Rhinolophus ferrumequinum: one gene and its partners. The protein of the gene in region 1 interacts with the protein of each later gene in a pairwise test. Links are inferred from orthologs where the notes say so. Each region holds a gene or a part of one and is shown on either strand. Other genes may lie near its edges.

Region 1 (7,798 bases):
TTGGGCCAATGTGAATATGGACAAGGTATAGAAAGCTAATATTGTGAAATGTGATATTTTAGCTATGTAAGAAAATGTTCTTAAATGATAAGTGATACATACTTACACATTTGGAGGTGAAGTGTCATGATATCTACAATTTATTTCAAAATATCTCATCTTAAAAAAGAATAAAATGGATTAAAGAACTATACCAATTGACGTGCTGTCAGTTTGTGTTAATGGAAATCCACTGGGTCTTCCACTAGAGTGAAGCTGCATTAGCAGGGGGCATGGTGCTTAAGAGGCAGGTCTCAAGGGCCAGAGTGCCTTGATTAGAAGTTCAGTTACACCAATTATTAATCATGTGACCTTAACTTCTCTGTGCAATGGTTGCCTCATCTATAAAACTACCTACGGAGTATTTGTGAGGATTAAATTAGTACATGTAAATACACATAGTATTCAACTTATAGGTAATAATAAATGGCAACTGTTATCATTAGTTGAAATATATAAATTGTAGTGCTAATATTTTTAGTCCTTTATTCTTTAAGGCAATAACTGAAATTCCATCTTTTATTAATAAAGCCATCTTTCCTGCAGAAATTTCAATATTATTTCTTGAAAGTGTATTTCATTATCACAAGCTAACAACATGGTTAATAAGACAGACAAAAAACAAAATACTTCTTTGTCTTTCAATCCACCACTAAATGGTTTTTCACGCTCCTCTATCACCTGCATGAATGGTTTTTCATGCTCCTCTATCAGCTCTGGCTATGACCTTAAAATGGTGAAAGAAGACTAAGGCCAACAGAGGAGTTGGCCATCAAACAAAGCAACTAGCTGCTCATGATCAACAGCTTTCCCCTTACTCAGCAATTCCACATTATAAATAAACAGTAATCAGTGCAATATAAAATGTGTTCCAATTAATCAAGCCTGATAGTCCAATGAGAATTATGGCACTTTATGGCATGGGAAAAGCCTACACTACAGCATTAGGCAACTCAATCTCTCCAAGCACTACTGATACTACAGTATCGTGGATTCCATAATAATGTGAGAGGATGACTGAAGCTTAGATGAGGTAGCACAAAACACATAGGACTGAGCTCAGTGAAATTCTCTTTTCCCCTTCCCTGGTATTAGTGATGCTTACCCATGTTTGCTACAAAAGCGTATCTGCAGAGTCTATGTCTAATTTAAAACAACTCTACTTTGTAGTAGAATACAATATACGGAGGTCATACATACCTTCAGCATTTATACTGAGTTCTGTTGAATTTTCTTCTGACGTTGCATATGGATTGTTTCCAACCATTGGCACAAGACAATCAGTATAGAAGTAACCAATCTTACACATATTCAGTGTAGAAATAATCAGATCTATTGCAAGTTGGCCAACATTTCCAACGGATACTGCTGGCTGAAATCATTTTAAAGAGTGTTTATTAAGGCATTGGCATTAGCAGCACTTTAAAGTTTGGACAGAAGACAATAATCACAGCACTAGTATTGAATGTTATGTTCAGGCGCATCATAGCTACCCTGTTTTCCTGAAAATAAGACCTAGCCGGACAATCAGCTCTAATGCGTCTTTCAGAGCAAAAATACAGTAGTACCTTGGTTTTCAAACACTGACGAACATTTCGGTTTATGAACGCCGTAAACCCAGAAGCAAATGCTTCAGTTTTTGAACATGCCTTGAAAGTTGAACATGTCACGCAGCTTCCGCTGAGTGCAACATCCTGAGGCCTAGCTGTTGGCTGTTTTCGAACGTTTCAGAACTCCAACGGTCTTCCAGAGCGATCACATTCAAAAACCGAGGTACCGCTGTATGAGATCCGGTACCTCGGATCTCATATCCTATCATATCATATCCTATCATATCATATCTGGTCTTATATTATAGTAAAATAAGGCCAGGTTTTATATCAATTTTTGCTCCAAAAGACACGTTAGAGCTGATTGTCCAGTTAGATCTTATTTTCAGGGAAACATGGTACATATTGACTCTCCTGTAGTTGCAAGCAAGGTACCAGCAGGGACCTCCTCCACCTTTGAGACTACAGATTTAACACTTACTGAACACCTACTATATGTCAATCGTTGCTCTAGGCACTGGGAATGTAAATCAAAAGTTCCTGCCTTTGTAAAGCTTCCATTCTAGGGAGAGTAGTTTACCTGCAGTAAACAAACAAACAAAAAAAAACCCCAGTAAAATATACAGTGTTAAGTGCAGTGGAGAAAAATTAAAGGACTGTCAGTGTGTGTGTATATGTTTGGCTGCAATTTTAAATAGGGTGGTCAAGAAAAGAATTGCTTTATAGACCTGAAAGAGATAAAGGAGGGCAGTGAGGTAGGAACAAAAGTGATGTTGGGGCCTCTTTCTGTTTGCTTTATTAGCGCCTAAATGTTGGAGTGAGCTTATTTTCACACTAAAAACACCACACACACACACACACACACCCCATGACTTCAAATAGTCCAACTGCCAAATCTGTAGCTACAGCCTGGAATACTCATCTAAACTCCAGAGCCTAATGTGTATCTCCACATGATTATGTCACAGGTAACTCACATCCAACATGTACAAAATTAAACTTTTGCCCAAAATTGTCCTCATATTTTGTATTTCAGAAAAGAGAAACAATTATTGAGCCAATTACCTAAACCAGGACACTTTTTCCTTTTCCTTTACCAACCATACCTAACGCACATCTAAATTTTATTGATTCTATTTTTTTTTCCTGGCCTTTGCATACTTTTCTGCGTCCTTCAGAGTGGTCTCCCACTTCTCATTGCTGTCATTGATTGCTGGTTATCCACTGTAATCCCCTTTCCCTTCTCAACGATTTTGCTACTTTCGTTAGATCCTCACTTTCCTGTATCATCTATCTTTTCCTCACTACTGGATTCTTCCCATCAGCATATACACATACTCTAATATCTTTCCTTGTAAAAAACCGTCTCTTGATCCCACACACTCCCCTAGCTACCACCTCACTTCCAGGTGTCCTTCCATAGCCAAAATTCCCCACGGTTGTCCACTAAAACATAAGCAGGAACTTTAGCTCTGAATTAATGAACAAATATATACGTATACACGTCTCCACCTCTTCCCCATTTATTCAACCCACTTTAATATGCTTCCCTCTTCACTGTTCCACTGATAACTTTTTTAAGGTTACCACCAATAATCTTTTAGACATTACTTTCTCTATGAAGCTTTTCTTTTTCATTTTTTTCTCCAGGTAGCTCCTGCAAAGGTACTTTTTCCATTTTGAGATTAATAAATATTTTTCAGGGAGATACTGTGAAATTATGGAAAATTCCCTTCCTCAAACACTATCGCACACTAATTTTGGCATTCATTGATATTTCATGCATTACAATGAAAACGGACCAAAAGTCATTTTTCTATTACCATCATTCTTTTTTGACATATAACACTGTATCACTTTTAGATACATAACATGATTGATATATGTATATACTGTGAAATGATTACCACAATAAGTTTAGTTAATATCCATCACCACAGTTACAATTTCTTATTGTGATAAAAACTTTTAATATCTACTCTCTTAGCAAACTGAAGGTTTGTACCTTTTGACTACTTCACCCATTTCACCCAACCACCCTTCCACTCTACCTCTCCAATTGTTCTCTGTAATCTATGAGTTTGGTGTTTTTTTCTTTCTTTCTATTTTTTTTTTTCTTTCTTTCTATTTTTTTTTTTTTTAAGATTCCACATATGACGCTTTGAACAGAGCCATGTGTCCCTCCCCCAATAAGTCCTAAGGCCTTTCTGTATCTTTTTAAAACTTCTATCCTAGCATATATTGCCTTTATTGATTTACGTGTTTCCTATTAGACTGTAAACTCTTTGAGAACATGGGCCTAGTGTTATTCTAATATCGTCACATCATAGAATGTTTATTGAAACAATGAATTAATATGGACAATTTTAAGAGCGATAGAACCATATGTTAGCTACTGGCAAAAGTTGCCTTGTTACTCTATTGTAATGTTCTGGTTAATGACTGACTTGCTAGCTTAAGAATGACGCTAAAACTAGTTGAAAAAAGATTTTCTAGTATAAAAAGCAAAGAGAACGTCCCGCACCACATATGTACAACGTATCGGTAACATCAAACACATTACGTTGTACAGTCAACAAAGACCACAAACTGGAGACTTAGATACAAGGTTTGGTGATAGCGCCAACAAAGGTTCTATTTGGACCGCCGCCTCCAGCGACAACCTCTCTACATTTTCGGCGCAGGCTTAAAACTCGAAATAGAAACAAGTACTCGCTTTCTCACAGGGCCGGACGAAAAATCCCGAGTTGGGGTGGCGGTACCGCAGGCGCCTCCCGAGAGGTAGCAGCCTCAAGCCAGTTCGCGAAATTGGAGACTCACCATCAGGAGGGTGAAACCCGCGAGATCCGGGACCGACTCTCCGTAGGGAACAAACATGGTCGCACTGCAGTGGGAAGAAGGAGATGAGTGCCGGCCTGGGAAGAACCGGGGCGGCGAGAAAGCGAGAACCACGAGCTCTCAAGGTCTGCACGCTCGAGCCCCTAGAACCCCGCGCGACCCGGGCAGGGCGGGGCCAGGCGGACTGGGTCCTTCGAGCCCTCGGCGCGAGGTCCTGAGAGGCTCGTCCACGTATCTGCCGTTCCAGAAAACAGAAAGGGACCTCGAGGGAGGGAGAAATGGGAGCGGAGAGCGCGCATCCAGAGACACTAGCAAGGCAAGGAGTTTGGCTGAGCTGAGGTCACGAGGTGGGGACCCCGAGGGAAGAGGAGTGGGTGGAGTTGACCAGGCAGAGCGGGGGACAGCTCCGAGGCCTGGTTGTCCGCTGCCGTTTGAAAACGACAGTTGGGCGCCGCCGCAGCCACGTCCCCGCCTCACGCTCAGCGCCGGGCTTGATGCGGCGTCGCGCCCCCGCGGGAGCTGCGCGAGGAAAGTGGTCGCGCCGGCTCTGTGCTCACCCCACACTGACGTTCTGGGGCCGGCTGGGGCACCTGAAGCGAAGGGAATCCGTGTTGAGGCGCCAGCCCCAGCATGTCGCTGCCTCCGGAGAAAGCCTCTGAGCTGAAGCAGCTTATCCACCAGCAGCTGAGCAAGGTGAGGGGCCGCGGGCGCTCTTCCCGCCAGTGGCCCCAAGTGTCCAGCTTTGTGTCCCTTGTCCCGGCCGACTGTGGCACCTGTTTGCTGGGGACTCAAGCAAAGGCTGTGAGACGCAGAGCGTGGGATGTGCAAAGCTTCGGGTTTGAAGCCAGAGGAACTGTCTAGGCTCGATAATGAGAACGAGCTCAGAAAGTGCTAGTAAGAGTCTGAGGTGATAGAACGGCGTTAGTATTATGGGACAGTTGTGAAAATGAAGCGTGTACCAATGACTTCTGGAAGTCATATCGAGTATAAGTTGTGTTTGGAGCAGGTTTATATTCAAAGGTCAGAAATTAGAATTAATTTAAGGGTGGAACTTCAGGTGTCATTGATATTGAACCAAATTGACAATTCTTAAAGAAGTTATGAAAGAATTTAGTAAGGATTTGTAATGAAAGCATTTGTGATACTTCAGAGCTCAAGAAGAACATTGTATCTTTGAGGTGCTCAACTGAATGCAATTAAGCTGAAGTAATAAAACCTACCGTTTATTGTGCACTCGGATGCCAGGCTTTGTACTAAGTGTTTAGCGTCTTTTATCTGAGCCTCACAATAACCTTGACGGCACTATTTTTTCCAGATTCATAAAAGGTAAATAAGTTAACTCAAGATCACATCTAATAAGTTGTAAGGTGAAAGTCATACTTTGATCCCCTCCCCTCGGTCTGTGTTCTTTTGATTATACTATACTCTTTCTCCAAAGATTGTTTTGGTTGAATGTTATTTGTGGGGAAATAGTAACAAAAGTAGTAGATAACCAGTAGAGATTATTTCTAGAATTTGTAGTATAAGTTTTCATTTAAAAAAATTTTTTTTCCTTTTAAAAATCTCGCCTTTATTATCTTTGAATTCTGGTAACAATTTTACATTTATTATTTGTTTGAGAAGCCTTCCCGATTTTAGTGTACTCTCCTATTATTCTTTTCTTTGTCAGTATTTTAGAAAGAAATGAACTAAGTGGCAATATTTGTCTGCTTTGTAATGTGAATTGTAATGTGAGTTTTCTACGTAGATGGATGTCCATGGCAGAATAAGAGAAATCCTTGCTGAGACAATACGGGAAGAATTAGCACCTGATCAACAACAGTTATCAACAGAAGATTTGATCAAAGCTCTTAGACGTCGTGGAATCATTGACGATGTGATGAAAGAACTTAATTTTGTTACTGTGAGTAAGCTTGTAGAGGAGAAAATCTGAGAGTCTAAGCATATTTTGGGGCCTCTTCTTTTAGTAAAACCACTTCAAAATATGGTAGCTTTGCCTAGTAATATCCTTGTTTCAAGTATAAACTAATTCTACAATTGAATGTAGATTCAATGTAGGATTATGTATCAATGAAATTGTACATATATACCATTCTTCTCTCTCTACAGTGACAGAATTTTCTCCTGTTATTCTCTAAGTCTGTAACTTTAAGTATATATATTTTAGTCAAACATAACCTAGTTGTTTTTCACTAATATTCTATAATTTTAAAAATTAGGCTTATTTTTAAAATAAACACTCGGGACAATATTATCTATGATTAAGAAATTATCAATTCCTTTAAGAAAATAATTGTCTGCATAAGAATCTTTAAAGCTTTTCAGACAAATAGGTCAGTAATGGAATGATAGCCTCCCTCTCAGTGTACAAATTAGTAAGTAGGCCTTTTGAAAATGAGGCAATAATGAGAAATTGTGACCTCAATACCTGGGAAATATAATGTAGAATTTGGATGGACTTCATAGTACACCAGGGGATAAGTATTTTAATACAGCCTCGTTTTTTTGGTTTTTGAGGTTTGTAAACCCATTTGGTATAAAAATTGACCTAATAACAGTTTCTGCTGTGTGTGAATATCACTTCCTTATTAAAATCAGTTCATGGTACAATCATAAGCCAAATGTTATATGAGGTTTAGAGAAAGTTTGACCTTGTTTGAGGTATTAAGGATTTTTTTTTAGCATTCTGTGGACATTGCTTGAAGACAGTTTAGTTCCTTAACATTAAACTGTAGGACTGACTAGTTGCATCACCTTTTTTGCAGGCTTTTCATTATTTGAACTGTTTGAGGAAAATAAGGGGCTTTATTCTATCTTCTTTTGGTTTGGTTCTTAGTTCCATTATTGGCATTTCTTAATTATAATTTTTGTTTTCTGATTTGTATTTTTCTGCCTTTCTAGGACAGTGTTGATCAAGAACTTCCTTCCTCTCCAAAACAATCAGTTTGTTTTACTGATAAACAATCAACGTTGTTAAAAAAAAGTATGTGTATTTCTTTTTAACCTTAATTTACTTGTGGATAGTACTGTGAATAGACGTGCTGTAGTGTTTGGTATTTGATAGAAAACACTTCAATTTTTTTTTCCAGAATGAAATACTTATATTTTTGTGACTAATCCAAAAAGCTTCAATTCTGTTTTGCATGATATCAGAAGATTTAATGTATAGCAAAGTGGAAGCAAAAATAGGACCGCCTGTTTCTCATGTTTTAGTAATATATTTTATAAAAATTTTACAACTGTGTTTTTTTAGTGGCTATGTAATTATCTCACAAGTACACTTTGCTGAGTTGAGATAATTGAGTTGGTTTGTGGAGGTGAAGGAATGGATAGTTGGATAGCAACTAAAGAGCAAAGTTATCCTAAACCTT
Region 2 (7,424 bases), on another chromosome or scaffold:
AGAAGCCTTCCTCCAATTCCCTAAGCTTTAGTGTTTGGGCAAAGGCTAACAGACATGAATCAAACACATCCATCACAACTACACGTTCTCTTACAGACGGTATAAATATTTTCCTTTTGGAAAACTGCCTAAAATAACTGACCCTAAAATAAAGCCTTTATACGATAAGTTGACTGTTTTGAGTACTTAAATTCTGGTCTAACCATAGTTAAAATAAAATAAAATTCTTTTGTACAAATCCAAATAAAAGTAATGCTGTTAAGTGCACTAATAACAAAGATGAGGTGAAATTGGCAAACTACTACTACTACTACTAACAGCAGCTAACATTTGAGCATGTACTACATACTAGGCACAGCCAGCAGCACTTTACAAATAGTAACTCATTTAATCCACACAACCATGCTATCAGGGATGTACTATTATTTTACTGATTTTACAGACTAGCCACTTAAGTAACTTGCCCAAGGCTACAGCTAGGTCTTGGGGCTAGCATTTAAATCCAGTTGCTCTACCACCAAAACCTGTTCTTTCAAGCAACATGCCCTACTGCCTCTTAACATACACAGTTTATAGCGCTGTAAATTGAGGTAACCCTTTCAGAAGGCAGTGTGGCAAAAGATCAGGAGCCATGAAAATGTTCTTCTCACTGATATATCTGGGTATCTATCACATATGTCAACATAGACTCAACACAGCTTTATTTAAAGAAAAAAGAAAAAGTGGAACAGCTTAAATGCCTAAATAGGGAAATGGTTACACAAAGCATACTCACTCTAATGACAACAAATAATAATGGCTATGCAGACTGCAACAACAACAAAATAGTTTGTAATATTAGCTTTTTAAAAAGCAAAGATAATACTGCATATACTCTATGATTACAATTACATAGGAAAAGCCTAAAAGATATAAATTATTTCTAAATGCTGACATAGCTGTATTCAGTATATTTGCATGTTTCCACTTTCCACTATTCAAATGTTTTAAATAGAACTAATATTACTTTTATAAGAAAACAATTAATGCATACATTTAAAATATATTATAAAACTATACATTAAGTATACACTAATATTCAAATATAAATGCACTCCAGCAAAGGACTTCATCGTAGACAGGCCAATAGAGGAAAAAAGGATAGATGGTTTGCTCTTTGTCACACAAAATGCAAGTTTCCTGTTTGGATAGTAAAATAAGGAAGACTCTTCACTCTACTAGGTATATATAGTCCTTCGGAATCAATAGAAAGGGTCAATACCATCCATGCTAGACCTGGCTTACTGACTAAAAATAGTAGCATCTTACATCTGGGTAAATGCGGAGAGCTGTGTGATAATCAACAAGTTGCTTAAACCCCATGCTTTAGTTTCCTCATCATAAAAAGAAAACAAAGTATAATCCAAATTAAGAGAGAAATGGACAAAATAAGTTAATATTTGAAAACAAATGTAAGGAAACAGTAATCTGGAAAAACATCTTAAGGTTTGTTAATATGAATAAGGAAAAGACCCAGATATGCTACCGGTATCTCAAAAACTCAAATCCTCTGAACCCACCCAGAACGCCTTATCATTTCATCCCCATGATAACGGTAAACGTATCTGCACTAACAGCTCCTACTGTGTTTCCCCGAAAATAAGACCTAGCAGGACCATCAGTTCTAATGCGTCTTTTGAAACAAAAATTATAGTAAAATAAGACCGGCTCTTATATAATATATAGTAAAATAACACTGGGTATAACAATATAATAATACAATACAATATAATATACTACCGGGTCTTATATAAGACTGGGACTTATATTAATTTTTGCTCCAAAAGATGCATTAGAGCTGATTATCCAACTGGATCTTATTTTTGGGGAAACAGGGTTCAATATACTACAATTGAACATTTTAATACTTTTTCTAGTTTTTGTTTTTTGTTTTGCGTTTATACTATAAAGACCACAAAGAAGAGCACTTTTTCTCTGATTAGCTTTCGGTCCCTTTCACCGAAAGTCCATCTCCTAACACGCTCTGTGCAAAGTTCAGTTCACAGTAAATGCTGATCTAAGTTGTAAATTAATTCTGGGCCCTACTACGGATTTGGCGCCAGATTAGTAAGGTTATTTCTACACCTAGAATGAAATCCTAAACGAAAAGTGTCAGGTCTACAATGTTTGTGACATAGGAAAAAAAATAGAGCTTTCCTGGGTTTTGATGACCACACACCGTCGGAGGTCGTGCGCTGACCTGAAGTCTGTGCTAAGGGTCACAAGATCAGAAAGCGAGAATTAAAACTGAAACTTAGGCTGGGTTCACACCCCTCTTCCCGTCGCAACAACAGTGCGTGCACTGATCACACCCGGTTGCACTGGGTTCTTCGGTGCAAAGGTGAGATCCGTTAAGATGGAAAAAGAGACTTGGGGGCGGGCGAGGGGTCGCGTTCCCCGCGCTGGGAACGCCGGCAGGAGCCCTCCCAGAAGCCGGGAGCTGAGCAAGACGCACGCCCCCCGGCTCCTGTCTCCCCACCCGGCCCGCTCCGCAGCCCCCGCTCACCCGCTCCGGGGTGCTCCATGGTTCTGGCGCTAGCGGGTGACAGGTCTCGGCTGGCAGCGGAGGCGGCAGCCCCGCGCAGCGGCCAGGGGCGGGGCGCCAGGCGGAGGCGGAGGCGGAGGCCGGGGCGGGGCCGGGATCCGACGAGCAGCGCGCGGGGCCGAAGGACGCGGCCGACGGCTGCGGCTCCGTTCGTGGCGCCTGGACCCGCGTAGGCCCCGAGCCGCAGAAGCCGCAGTCCCCGCTGGAGCTGCATGTCCAGGCCCGGCGCCTAGGACGAGCGGAAGGGGCCGCCCCGAAACGCCGCTGGTATCCGGATTCGGGCTGCGCGAAGGAGTGGAGAGGGGTGGGGAGCCGTGACCCCGGCGCCGTGGAGAGCGAGGGCTCCTCTCCGCCCCACAGTGCTCGGTTCCCGCCTCCGCCCTGCAGCGGGGCGGCCCCCTGAGGCCTTGGCTGCCCTCAGTTATTTCCCGTGGCTCCGCGTTTCCAGTCCCAAGCCTTGAAGGGTGAGATTGGGACCCAGCTGAAAGCATTTCCTGGCCTAGGATCTCCTGGGGATCTTTGTGTTTAGTTTTGCAGAGAGCTTTCAAAACACAGAGTTCTGCTTTCAAAATATTTGGAAAGAGCGAGTAGTACAGGAACGACACCTTGGTCATTTGTAGTTAGATATTTATTTTGCTTTTTAATTTTTAAGTCAAATTGCAGCAGTCACACATTTTTAACAGTGGTTTCATGCCTACAGCTTAAATGGAACCAGCTACTAGTTATTGCAAATGAAAGCACTGGTTGTGAATGAAATGGAATAAAAAGCAATTTAATTATTTTTTTTAAAAAAAAAACCTTTTGACCTTGGAACAGAAATCTACTGAATTTTTCTTTTAAGTACAAAGAAACCATGCACTAAGAAAATTAGGTGGGTGCATTACTCAAATTAATCTAGCCTCTATTTTTGAATAATGACGCTTGGCTTATCTTGAATGCATCCTAGAATGCAAATGGAGGCAAAGACGGCAGCACAACCACAATATTCATACACAAGAAGTCATAAAGCTTGTTACTCTCACATTAAAATAATTCTAGCAAGTTGAGTATTTGATTTGCACACCCATAGCAATTATGGACTGATTAGAGAGGTACAATAGATTCCCTTAATTATTTAATGCCTGAGCTCCCTCCTGAGGTTGAGCAGGTGAATAAGAGAGGTCTTTTTCTCAAGGAATTGATCACCTAATAGAGAAAGAAACATAAATAACTGCAATAAATAATAAACTAAAAGCTGCAAAAAGTAATCCACATTAATATCGAAAGGGATCAGAATATGCCCCCCAAAACACGCCACTTCTACATAAGGATTATTTTGAGTTGAAGGCAATTGAGAAACAGCAGAAACAGAATGCTCTGCCTTCCCCTTTTGGCCTAAAAGCAGGCCATAAATTTCCCTTTGTAAAGGTGACAAATTTCCATAACTTATCTGTATATCAAACCTTGCTAAACAATACTTACCATGTATTTCCTAGTCACTATCTGAAAGCAGAGACTGTTTTAACATCTTCATATTCCCAAGTGATTAGAGGTTACTCAGTGAAGAGTTGTTAAATGAATAAAACTCTCATAAGTATCAGATATGTCAAAAGTACAGATTTGTCAAAAAGAAATAAAAAGAAAGCAATACACCCAAACAAGTTTTTTAAAAAAGAAATAATATCGTGAGTAATCTTACCATGTTTCCCCAAAAATAAGACCTAGCCGGACAATCAGCTCTAATGCGTCTTTTGGAGCAAAAATTAATATAAGACTCAGTATTATTTTATATTATACCCAATCTTATAGTAAAATAAGACGCAGTCTTATATTTTTTTGTGTATTAATTTTTCCTCCAAAAGACGCATTATTGCTGATTGTCCAGCTATGTCTTATTTTCGGAGAAACATGATAACGTCCTAAAGCTTCACCAGCCTGAAGCGAAGAATTAGGTGATATTAACATTAATATCTAAATTTTATAGATAAATCTACTTGCTCATGCCAGAGCTCCAGACCCTTGTGAAATCCCCCCAAAATACATGTGGGGTTCCAAATGGTATCTGACATTACTAATGAATCATTCCAGGTTGTCACTATCCCCAGTCTTTGAGCTCCCCTGGTCCAGTCTCCTTTCCAGGAAGTCTGCTGCCCTCTTCAGACATCAGCTGATTGGTGGATTACTTGGCCATGATGGATCCTCTCAGTCCTCAGGATAACAACTCTTGCAAACTAGAAGACCAATTCCTCCCCAGTGGATTACATTCTGCCTAAGGGCTAGGGCAGGGTGGGTGATGTCACAGATTATTTGGACTTCTAAGAGTGACAGAATTCATTGAGATAGCATGTTCCGTTACACACAACAGCACTATTTCTCCCAGGAGGACAATGTACCCTGCCAAGGTGAGTGGATTGAAAGTTTTAAAAAACAAAATTCAACTGAGTAAATTTTAAACATCTTATTGGGTTTATTAAATGATTCATGAATTGATCGGCATCCAATCTGGCAGATAGAAAGGAGCTCTGAGGAGCTGTACAAAACGAAAGATTTATAGGCAGCAGGGAGCAGGAAAGGAACTATCAAAGAGAGACATACAGTAAAAGACAAAAACCGATTGAGTAATATTGGGAGTATAAAGTTAAAGATGAAGGCATTGATCTTAGGAGAGACAGGAGGGAAGCAAGTTGGAATAGATGGATCCTGATAAGTGTTTGGATGGGGTCTTGGTTAAGACAGCTACTTTATAAAGGTGTCAGTATTCTTGAGGAAAACAGGTGAAGTCATTTGCTGGGAGAAGAAGACACTGAGGGAAGAATCTTGGTGATTCGAAGATTTTATAGATGTACAAAATAGGTCATAGATCATTGAAACTATGGGTTTGGATGAGGTTGCCCAGGGAAAATGTGTGGATGTAGAAAATTAGGCAACTATGAATTAGCGAACACTTTCACCATCTTTGTGATGACAATCTGAATCATTTTTTTTCTTGTGCACTTCATCAGCTGCCTGAATTATTACATACTTACTACGTTTCTTCCATTCTGAGTAAGAATAAGAAATAATCACAGTAAGAACATTTTCATAAAGAGCATGATTATTTTTCTTCAAACAAAGGATCAACTTATAATGAGGTATATGCTAGTTTGTATCATTACTCAGAAGATAACGGTGTTCTTAAACTGTTTTGAGATAATCTCTGTTTTTACACACTGAAGTAGTTAGTGCTCCTTACCGCGTTTTGGGCAAATGCCAAATTGAAAGATTTAGGTTTAACAACTCTAATTAGGCTTCCTGAATTTGATTAGTCCTGGGGATTAGTTTTTCATTTGATAGTTTATCTTACAAGATTCCTAAGCTCAAAACCGTATGTTTCCTTCGTTAGTTTTTGTATCATATACATCATGTAAGCTATCATTATACTTTCCAATAGACCATTCTATATTAATGGTTCGTTGTTTTGTTACTCTCTTGTCAGATTTTTTGAATACTAAAAGAGAAGTATTAAGAGCTATGTGAAATTCCACTTTCTGAGTTATCAGGGCTGTATATTATAATTTGTTGGTTTCATTGTCCTCAATGTGCTAGAAAATATTGATGCAAGTTGTCGTTAAATTTCTTATTGTCCATTTTAAATGCATGTCATAATTCTTTCATTCAGGGAGAATACTGACCCACATATATTAATAGGGTATTAATATCTGGGTTAGTAGATTTCACGTCTTTTCAAATTTCGTATTATTGTGTATTTGACTTAAGTATTCCTTGGTTTTTAGTTCTGTAATTGATATTTGATATTTCAAACAATATCACACAAGACTTCACTGGCAAGACTACCCTTGTTTGCATGCCAATCAGAGTATAACTGATAATTACAATATGAGGTTTTCTTTGAGTAATGTAAGAATCCGGTGACAAAAGAAATGGAAAAAAAACAGCAAAAGTTGAAAAGTTTCGGAAAGGAATAGAATCAGAATTAAAGGAAATTTGAGTCTATTCTCCCTTACACAGTAAAGAATTTCCTTACAGTTATCAATGTGAATACATTCGCTACTTAACAGCTCTTTGCCTAATATTCTGTAGTTTAAATTCAGAGTATCTTTCATTGTCTATTGATCTAGCTATAAAATGAAAGAAAGCCAAAATAATTATAACAAAATGCAAAAATTCCTTCATCATTAGATATCAACTTCCCAAGATCCTCTGACTCTTTCAATCTTCATCACTTTGTAGAAACATAGTGTATTTTATTAGACATAATTTCTATATATAAATAAACAACAGTTTATGTCACTTCTATTTAATATTTTTTCAAATAGCTATTGTTATATATAACATAATTTACAGTATATTATGTTTTGTTGTATTATACCATCATTACTTAAACTGTCCCTAGATCTTGGTCCTTTTGGTTATGTTTACCTTTCCAGTCAAATATACTTACACATATACTGGGATTCTTTTTCTTTTTTTTTGGTGTTATTTTCTTGATGCATACATCAAAAGTAAATTTACCAAATTAAGAGAAACTTGTTTAATTTTTATGGCTTTTTAAAGTAGTATATCAGATTGATCTACAGGAAAATTAAGTAGTAGTGTAAAAGGCATCTCCTCCCCCAAAGCCCTCGCTTTGGATTTATTATTCACTTGGTACATTCTAATTGTTCATGGTTCTATTTCTTAAATCATCACAAATGCTGAAATGTTTCTAACGGTCAAATATGTATCAAGTGCCTAATATATTGCCAAGAATTCACTGGGCCTAACAAATAGGCATGATTGTGCACAGGCAGCATGGAGGAGTGCTTACGAGCATGGACTCGGAAAGCCAGATTGCCATCTGTGATGAGCTTTTGAGGCAGGC
Region 3 (7,018 bases), on another chromosome or scaffold:
CTAATGCGCCTCCAGTCCATGCTCTCATGGCGAGGCTGGAACTTGAAGGTAGGGAGTGTGTAGGCCCCAAAAAGGGAACCACTGAGGCCCTCAAAAGTGGTAGCAGGGGACTGCATGGGTGAGGGAAGCCCTGGGCTGACCACTGCAGGAGGGTGCCGCCAAGGCCACGGCAGCAAGCAAAGGAACTGAGAGAGGGCCTGGAAAAGGAGAAGAGATTCCAAATTAGGCAAGGCATGTGGGCTGCATGTACCCTACACCTGGCCAGCAACAGCCTGAGTGGGGTGAGGTGAGGGACCTGAACAACAGCTGGAGCATGCATGGTATGCACTGACATGGCCAGAGCCATGGAAAGCAAGGGCGTGGGCTTTACAATAACACAGATGTGGATTCAGATCTTCAGCCTTGGGCAAGTCCCTTCACATCTTTAAGCCTCCTAGGTACATTGGGGATCACGGGACTCACTTTGCAGGTTTGTGGTTAGCAAGGAGGCAGATGAAGCACTCGTCTAGTGCCTGGCACATTGTAGGTCCTCAGTGAACGTCCCCTTGCCCAAGTCCACGGCCAAAGGTCTTTGTCAGGGGAAAACTGTCAAATGTATAAGTAGGTCCTTCCGCAACCCTACATTGATCTCAGGATAACGTCCAACAACTTGCCATGGGTGGCACAGCCACCTAATGTTCACAACATTCCCTCCTCTCCTCCTGCAACTACAAGATCATAGGGGACAGGGGTAAGCTACATTTCCCAGTTTTCCTCACAGTAAGGTGTCATCATATGACTATGTTCTCTCTAGTGGAATGTGAGTGAAATGATGTCCAATACTGCTATTGGGGAGGGCGCAGGGAGGGGAGCAGTGGTGCTAAAGAGAGTGGCCAGGTCTCTGCACGCAGATTGGGCTCCATCCACGATGGTCTTTTTTCTCAAACCCAATCACAATTTATCCTACCAATAAACTCATACAGGTGTGCAAAGCTGCTTGTGCAAGAATTATCATTGTAGCATTGTTTGTAATAGCAAAGTATAAGAAAAAGTACCAGAAAGCAGAGAACAAAGTACAACAGGGGATATAAATGTTAGCTCTATACAATGAAATACTTTGTGGCTATTGATGAAAATAAGGCAGCTTTACATGGAATACTGATCATACATACTCATATACTCATAAACATACTTTCATTTCTGTTTAAATGATATAATATAATCACATTAATGATAACTTGTGAAAATAAAGGAGCTATGTATATCTCATATGTGTGTGTGTGTGTGTGTATATATATATATATATGTTGTGTTTCCCCCAAAATAAGACCTAGCCGGACAATCAGCTCTAATGCATCTTTTGGAGCAAAAGATGCATTAGAGCTGATTGTCCGGCTAGGTCTTATTTTCAGGGAAACACAGTATATATCTGATATCTATATCTAAATAGATATATCACATTAAAATAGTTGCCTATGAGGGAGGAGGAAAATGGGAGTAAATAAATGAATAAATGAATGGTGCATGAGTAGAAAATGGATAGCTAGAAAGAGATAGATGATAGATAGAAAGATAGATAGATAGATAGATAGATAGATAGATAGATAGATAGATAAAGATAGACAGGCCTTACACAGACCAATAATGATTATTTTATATATATATATATATATATATATATATATACACACACACACATATATATGATTCTATTTGTTATTCATGTATAATACATAATTAAATAAAATACAAACACTAAGTTGATTTTATATATATATTATATATAATATATATACATATATAATATATAATATATATATGTATATATATAGCCTCATAAGCATAGACTATGTCTAGAAAAATAAACAAGCTGTTACCAGTTACCTCTGGGAATGGGAATGGAGGTGGAGGACCTTTATCTTCCACTTTCCACTTCTCTATACCATTCGAAGATCTTTGTATCCTCATCAATTACTTTTAAATTTTTTTTAAAGAAAAAGATATAATTTCTGCCCTTGAAAAACTTAGAACATGGAGCAACAGACAGTACATGTGATGCTATTTAATCAAATTCTTTCTAGATCATGTCATTCAGATATTTAAATGCAATAGAAAGTCAGAGAAGAGAAAGGTCATTGACCTCATAAAGGAGAAAGGCCTCGAAGAAATGATGGGGCTGGGTTTGCAAAGAAGGGAAGGGCCTCCAGGAAAGGGCCTGCCCTCCCTGAGCCCTGTCTTCATTTGGGAAAGGCGGTGATAGGCCTGCCCTACCTGTCCCCCGGGTGCAGTGAGAACTGGAGGAGATACAAGGGAAAGGCACTCAGTAATAACACCAGCTGTGGTGCAGGAAGCACCAGCCTCTGTGCCAGCTACAAACTCTAAATACAAACCTACAAACAGCTCTTAGCATTCCCATTTTACAAACAACTAAACTGATGTCTGCAGAGGTTCAGTAGCTTGCCCCAGGTAGGGAGGCCAGGGTTGAAATACAGTTAGAGGTCCATCTGGCTCCAAAGCTTGTGGACTGTGAACTCCCCAATATGATCCTTGAGGCTATTAGTCCTAAAAACTTGCTTTGATCAGATCATCACCACTTATCCCTCAAACTCATTCATTCACTCACTCCCCTCTCATTTACAGCATGACTACCTGGGCCAGGCCTAGTACCAGGCACTGGGGCAACCAAGGTGTATTAACCACACACCATCCCGCCCACCCAGGAGCTCAGTGTGGCTCCTTGTTGCCACAGTACTGAGTCTAAACCCTAAGCCTGGTCTGGAAGGCTGCCCACACGATGCCACTGACCCACCTTTTCCATTTCATCTCCTATTCTTTCTTAGATACTCTTCCCCAACACATACACCAAAAACAAAACTCTCCAGCCACAAGCACCCATGGCCATAAGGAGAAGACCAGCACATTTCTACTTAACATAGTGTGTTATTGAAAAAAAAAAAAGGCAGGGTGGCAGGTGAGATGATACTCACCATGCTCAACTTCAAGCTGCAACGGTGTCACCAGAGCCTCAGAAACAATTGCCACAACAAGCCGTGTCTTGGAACAACAGCAGGTTACCAGGCATGCTGTGGGCAAGGGTAACAGGACACCTGCTTCCTGTCCTCCTGCAGACCAGGAGCTCACCTGAGAACGCACTGTTTAACTATTTAAGCTTTGGCCTGAGATGTTTGCCCACACTCCTCTCTCTAATAATCTGACTAAGAACACTCCATCAGCAGCTCTCTCGGCTCTCCTCCCAGCACTTTGAATGCTCCTGCCAGCCTCTCCCTCGAACAGTTTCCCTCCTCCTTTAAGGCAGAGTGTGCCAGTGCCCCCATGATACTGGCCCGTTCACCCATGATGCATCTCTCCCTGCACACTCTCCTCGGAGTTAACTCACACATAACCACAGCTTCAGCTTCCACAGGCTGGGCCTGAGCCACTCCCAAATCTTTCTTACTGGCCCATCTGTCTCTTGGGACCTGTAGACCAAAATTGCCATTACTGATAATACCAGGAATTACATATCCAAATTCCGATGCAGGAAACGTGCCAGGTATAAAAGAAACCACAGTATAAGCTTGATGATAAATGGCAACTGATTCTCCATCTTAGTGTCCAAAATACAATCAGGCAGCGATTCTCAAGTGTGGTCTCTGAACCAGCAGACCAGCATCACCTGGGACCTCGTGAGAAATGCAGCTCTCCAGATTTACTAATTCAGAACCACTGCTTTAGGGAGTGTTGGGACAGGCAGTGTTGGGGTGGTGGCAAAAGGGGAGTGCATGCCCTGTTTAAAAAGGACAGCCACCGATGAGCTTCAGCCATACAGGAATGAATGTGTTCCTCGGGAGCTAATTCCACAATCATTAAGAAGATATTCAAAGACCTTTATGAACTGTTTCCAAACTACCTTTCTAGCTGCATCTCCACTTACCATATTATTTGCTGTCCACCCATTCTTATGTCTGGGCTACTTATTTATAGGCACTGTTTTTAAGTGTTTTGTAAAGAATAATTTGTGTAATCCTCAGAACACCCCCTTGAGGAGATACTATTATTATCTAAGCCACAAAGAAGTGAAGAAGCTTGTCCACAGGTACAGGAGGCAGGATCCAACCCATGCAGCCTGGTTACTGAGTCTGAACTCTAAGCCACTATGCCATGCTGCCTCTTGGTGCAGAGGGCCTTCCGCCATGTCCTTTTGCTCCTACTGAAGGTGAATGCATGCTTTCAAGGATTTGCTCATACATGATCGCTACCCAAATCCCTCCCAGGCCCACAGTCATAATTCTTGCTCTTCCCCAGAGCACAGAGCATACACTCCTTTAGTCGCCCTCACCATATTCTGGTCTGATGTGGGGTAGCTGTGCAGCAATCATTCGTCTATCCCATCAACAAATGATTCATAAGCCCGTACTAAGTGCCAGGCACCGTGATTGACAGTCCTGATTAACGGTGATTCAGGCAACAGTTCCTGCAATTGTTAACAGAAAGAGTTAACAGTTCTGGAACTGTGTGCTCCACACACAGTTATAAGGCTTTACATGTATTATCTCAGTTAATTCTCACAACAACCCTGTATACGGATGAAGAAACTGAGAGATGAACAAAGAGGGTGAAATTACTTTCCAAAATTACACAACTAGTAAGTGATGGTGTCTGGCTCCACAGTTGGTTCTCCAGAAAGACAGAAAAATACACAGAAAGTGCACAAAATACACAGAAAAGTACACAGAAAGGACGAGGTGCTATGGGAGCACTAAGAAGAGGCCATAACAGGACATTTCTGTCTCCTTTTTCCCCACTCCCCCTCTCTCTCTGTGAGGTCCACAAGGGCTGAGACCTTGGCTTATTCACATCTGTTGTACTCCAGCCCCTAGCATATTACATGCAGCCCAGATTTCTATTGAACTGAGCAGAATTGCCAAAATCTTAGAATATCTGCCTCACATTTCTACATTCTTGGGGTCTTGGAGAAATGAGGCTATGAAGAGCAAGAATTAAGTTATAGAATAAGAATGGAGTTAGGAGTCCTTCATTTGGACTCCTGGGAGAGAAATGACATTCAGACTTAGTAAAATGGTTGATTTGTTGACCATCTATGTCCAGAGCTTAATTCCATGTGCCACTAATGAAAGCTTAGAGTGCAGGAGCCCTCGTGGGTGGTTTTCAGTGAGAAGCCCCGGTGCCCACACTCGCTGTCAAGTTGTGGTCACAGCGTTCTAGCTTGCTGCCTGAGCAGCCCTAAAACCCTCACGTTGACACTGAGCACAGTCTCTTAATACCGAGGGTCACAGCCCCAGTCCCAGCTATACAGAATTCTGAATTAGGGGTCTGATTTCATGAGGTTTTACTGAGCCCCAAAAGTATCATTCCTGTCTCCCACTGGAACCCCAAAGGTCTGATTCTCAGGAGTCCTACCATTCTGACATCAAAAGGTGAGCAGAACTGTGGGGATTTGATGAGTATGACAATGACAGCAGCCATCATTTATTAAGTATCTATGTGCCAGGCACGGTGCCAGCCTTAAAAAGTACTATTTCTAGTTGTCATACAGCAGGGTATGTAGCTTTGATTTGCCTCATCTGAAAAAAATGTAAAAATTGAGGCTCAGAAAAGCTAAGGGACCTTCCCCAAGTCACTCAGCTACTACGTATGAAACCAAGATTCAAATCAAATTCTGACTCCAAAGCTTTTGAATTATGCCAAACTACCTTCCAATGATCATGATGAAAATACATAAATTATTTCCCATTATAAAAATTACAGTACCTGAGATTTCTTGACCAAACTGCACGAACTGAGAGAGTTTAGAGCAAATCACAACAGGATCAGAGCTGGAGGCCTTCAATTCTCCTTGTATCTCAGCAGACTCAACTCAGCAGCTTGTAACCAGATTAGGAAGGGCAGAAGACAAAGCCAGATGAGAATGCTGCAAGTTACCTAGAAACCACACACCCAGGAGGGCAGGAACACCCTGCCTTCTCCAGAATGAATTAGCAGCAGACTGTTTTTCCCATCTGGGAATAGGAACACAGGCAGAAATGACTCACTGTCATTAGGAAATCTGAAGCTGTGTTAGCCACCCCTAAATGTTTCAATGGGGTCCAGGAAACTTCCCAATCCTAGACCAAGGTCATAAGTTAATGGGAGCCAAAAGAACGATATTTATGCTAGCATTCCAAAATCACTTCATGGGTGAAGAGATCGTTTCTACCTAGGGCAATCCTATAGCCAAGAGAGGAAGCCCATCTACCATCCTAGCTTTGCATATTCCCAGTGATGGGGTGTCCACCACCTCTCAAGGCAGTCATCCCACTGTGAAGCAATTCCTGGAGACTTTATGGTTCTGAAACCTGCCCACCTATAATCTGTCAAAGATAACTTCCACAAAATATACCAAATAGCCGATTTTTAAACAAAATTCTGGCTGACTTTTTAATATAAATTGACAGCTAGAGTACACTACTACCGCTGCCATCTTCCGGTCTCTTCTGCTTCTTCAAGAATGAAGCCAAGAGAAGCACACAGAGAGAAACAAGCTTCCAAGGCTTCTGCCAGGCAATCATTTACAAGCCTGCCCTGGCTCCCAACTAATTTCAGTGGTGCCTGCCCCAGGGAGCTCAGGCATGTCATTAGTGCTAATTGTTGTGGCTGCCAAGGTAACCTTCACACAGTTTGCAAACAGGCTGTGCACACACCACAGGCAAGGGAGCGGGGGAGACCCCAACGGAGATGAGCGCGACCCAGGAGCTCTTCCGGGGCACTGCCGTTACTTCTCTGATTCTCTGACTTCTCAGACTCTCCGTTACTTCTCAGACTTCTCTGATTCTGTTGTTTTCTAAAGGGAGGAGTCCGCCTTTCCACTCTTTCTTTCCCTTCGTGGGAGCTGCCCCCACTTCCAGAACAGAGAGAGAGAGAGAGATCTACCCCACTAGGCACACAGCTCTCCCTTATAGCTGGCCTCCATTCCCAGAAACTTTAAGGAGATATTTTTAAAAGACAGTGTCCACAGTTTGGTCAAAACCTATTTTAAGTT

What was found.
Region 2: the proteins of CEP76 (region 1) and AKAP7 interact in a two-hybrid assay, tested with the Homo sapiens proteins (3 studies listed by BioGRID). The two-hybrid records come from large-scale screens. The link is inferred for Rhinolophus ferrumequinum from reciprocal best matches to the Homo sapiens genes CEP76 and AKAP7.
Region 3: the proteins of CEP76 (region 1) and DZIP1L interact in binary tests that used the Homo sapiens proteins (3 or more experiments, as listed by UniProt). The link is inferred for Rhinolophus ferrumequinum from reciprocal best matches to the Homo sapiens genes CEP76 and DZIP1L.

Annotation. Positions count from the first base shown.
Region 1 is NC_046302.1:5,540,062-5,547,859, forward strand, and holds the start of CEP76 (centrosomal protein of 76 kDa), read left to right. Parts: upstream 1-4,716; 5' UTR 4,717-5,057; coding exon 5,058-5,120; intron 5,121-6,174; coding exon 6,175-6,330; intron 6,331-7,013; exon of another isoform or gene 7,014-7,055; coding exon of another isoform or gene 7,056-7,088; intron 7,089-7,328; coding exon 7,329-7,410; intron 7,411-7,798. Other genes in the region: PSMG2 (proteasome assembly chaperone 2), read right to left, coding at 1,240-1,411, 4,410-4,466. UniProt on the Homo sapiens protein: Centrosomal protein involved in regulation of centriole duplication. Required to limit centriole duplication to once per cell cycle by preventing centriole reduplication.
Region 2 is NC_046286.1:78,641,097-78,648,520, reverse strand, and holds the start of AKAP7 (A-kinase anchoring protein 7), read right to left. Parts: upstream 3,023-7,424; 5' UTR 2,799-3,022; coding exon 2,546-2,798; intron 1-2,545. UniProt on the Homo sapiens protein: Probably targets cAMP-dependent protein kinase (PKA) to the cellular membrane or cytoskeletal structures.
Region 3 is NC_046300.1:37,317,683-37,324,700, forward strand, and holds the start of DZIP1L (cilium assembly protein DZIP1L), read right to left. Parts: upstream 3,041-7,018; 5' UTR 2,970-3,040; coding exon 2,967-2,969; intron 198-2,966; coding exon 1-197. UniProt on the Homo sapiens protein: Involved in primary cilium formation. Probably acts as a transition zone protein required for localization of PKD1/PC1 and PKD2/PC2 to the ciliary membrane.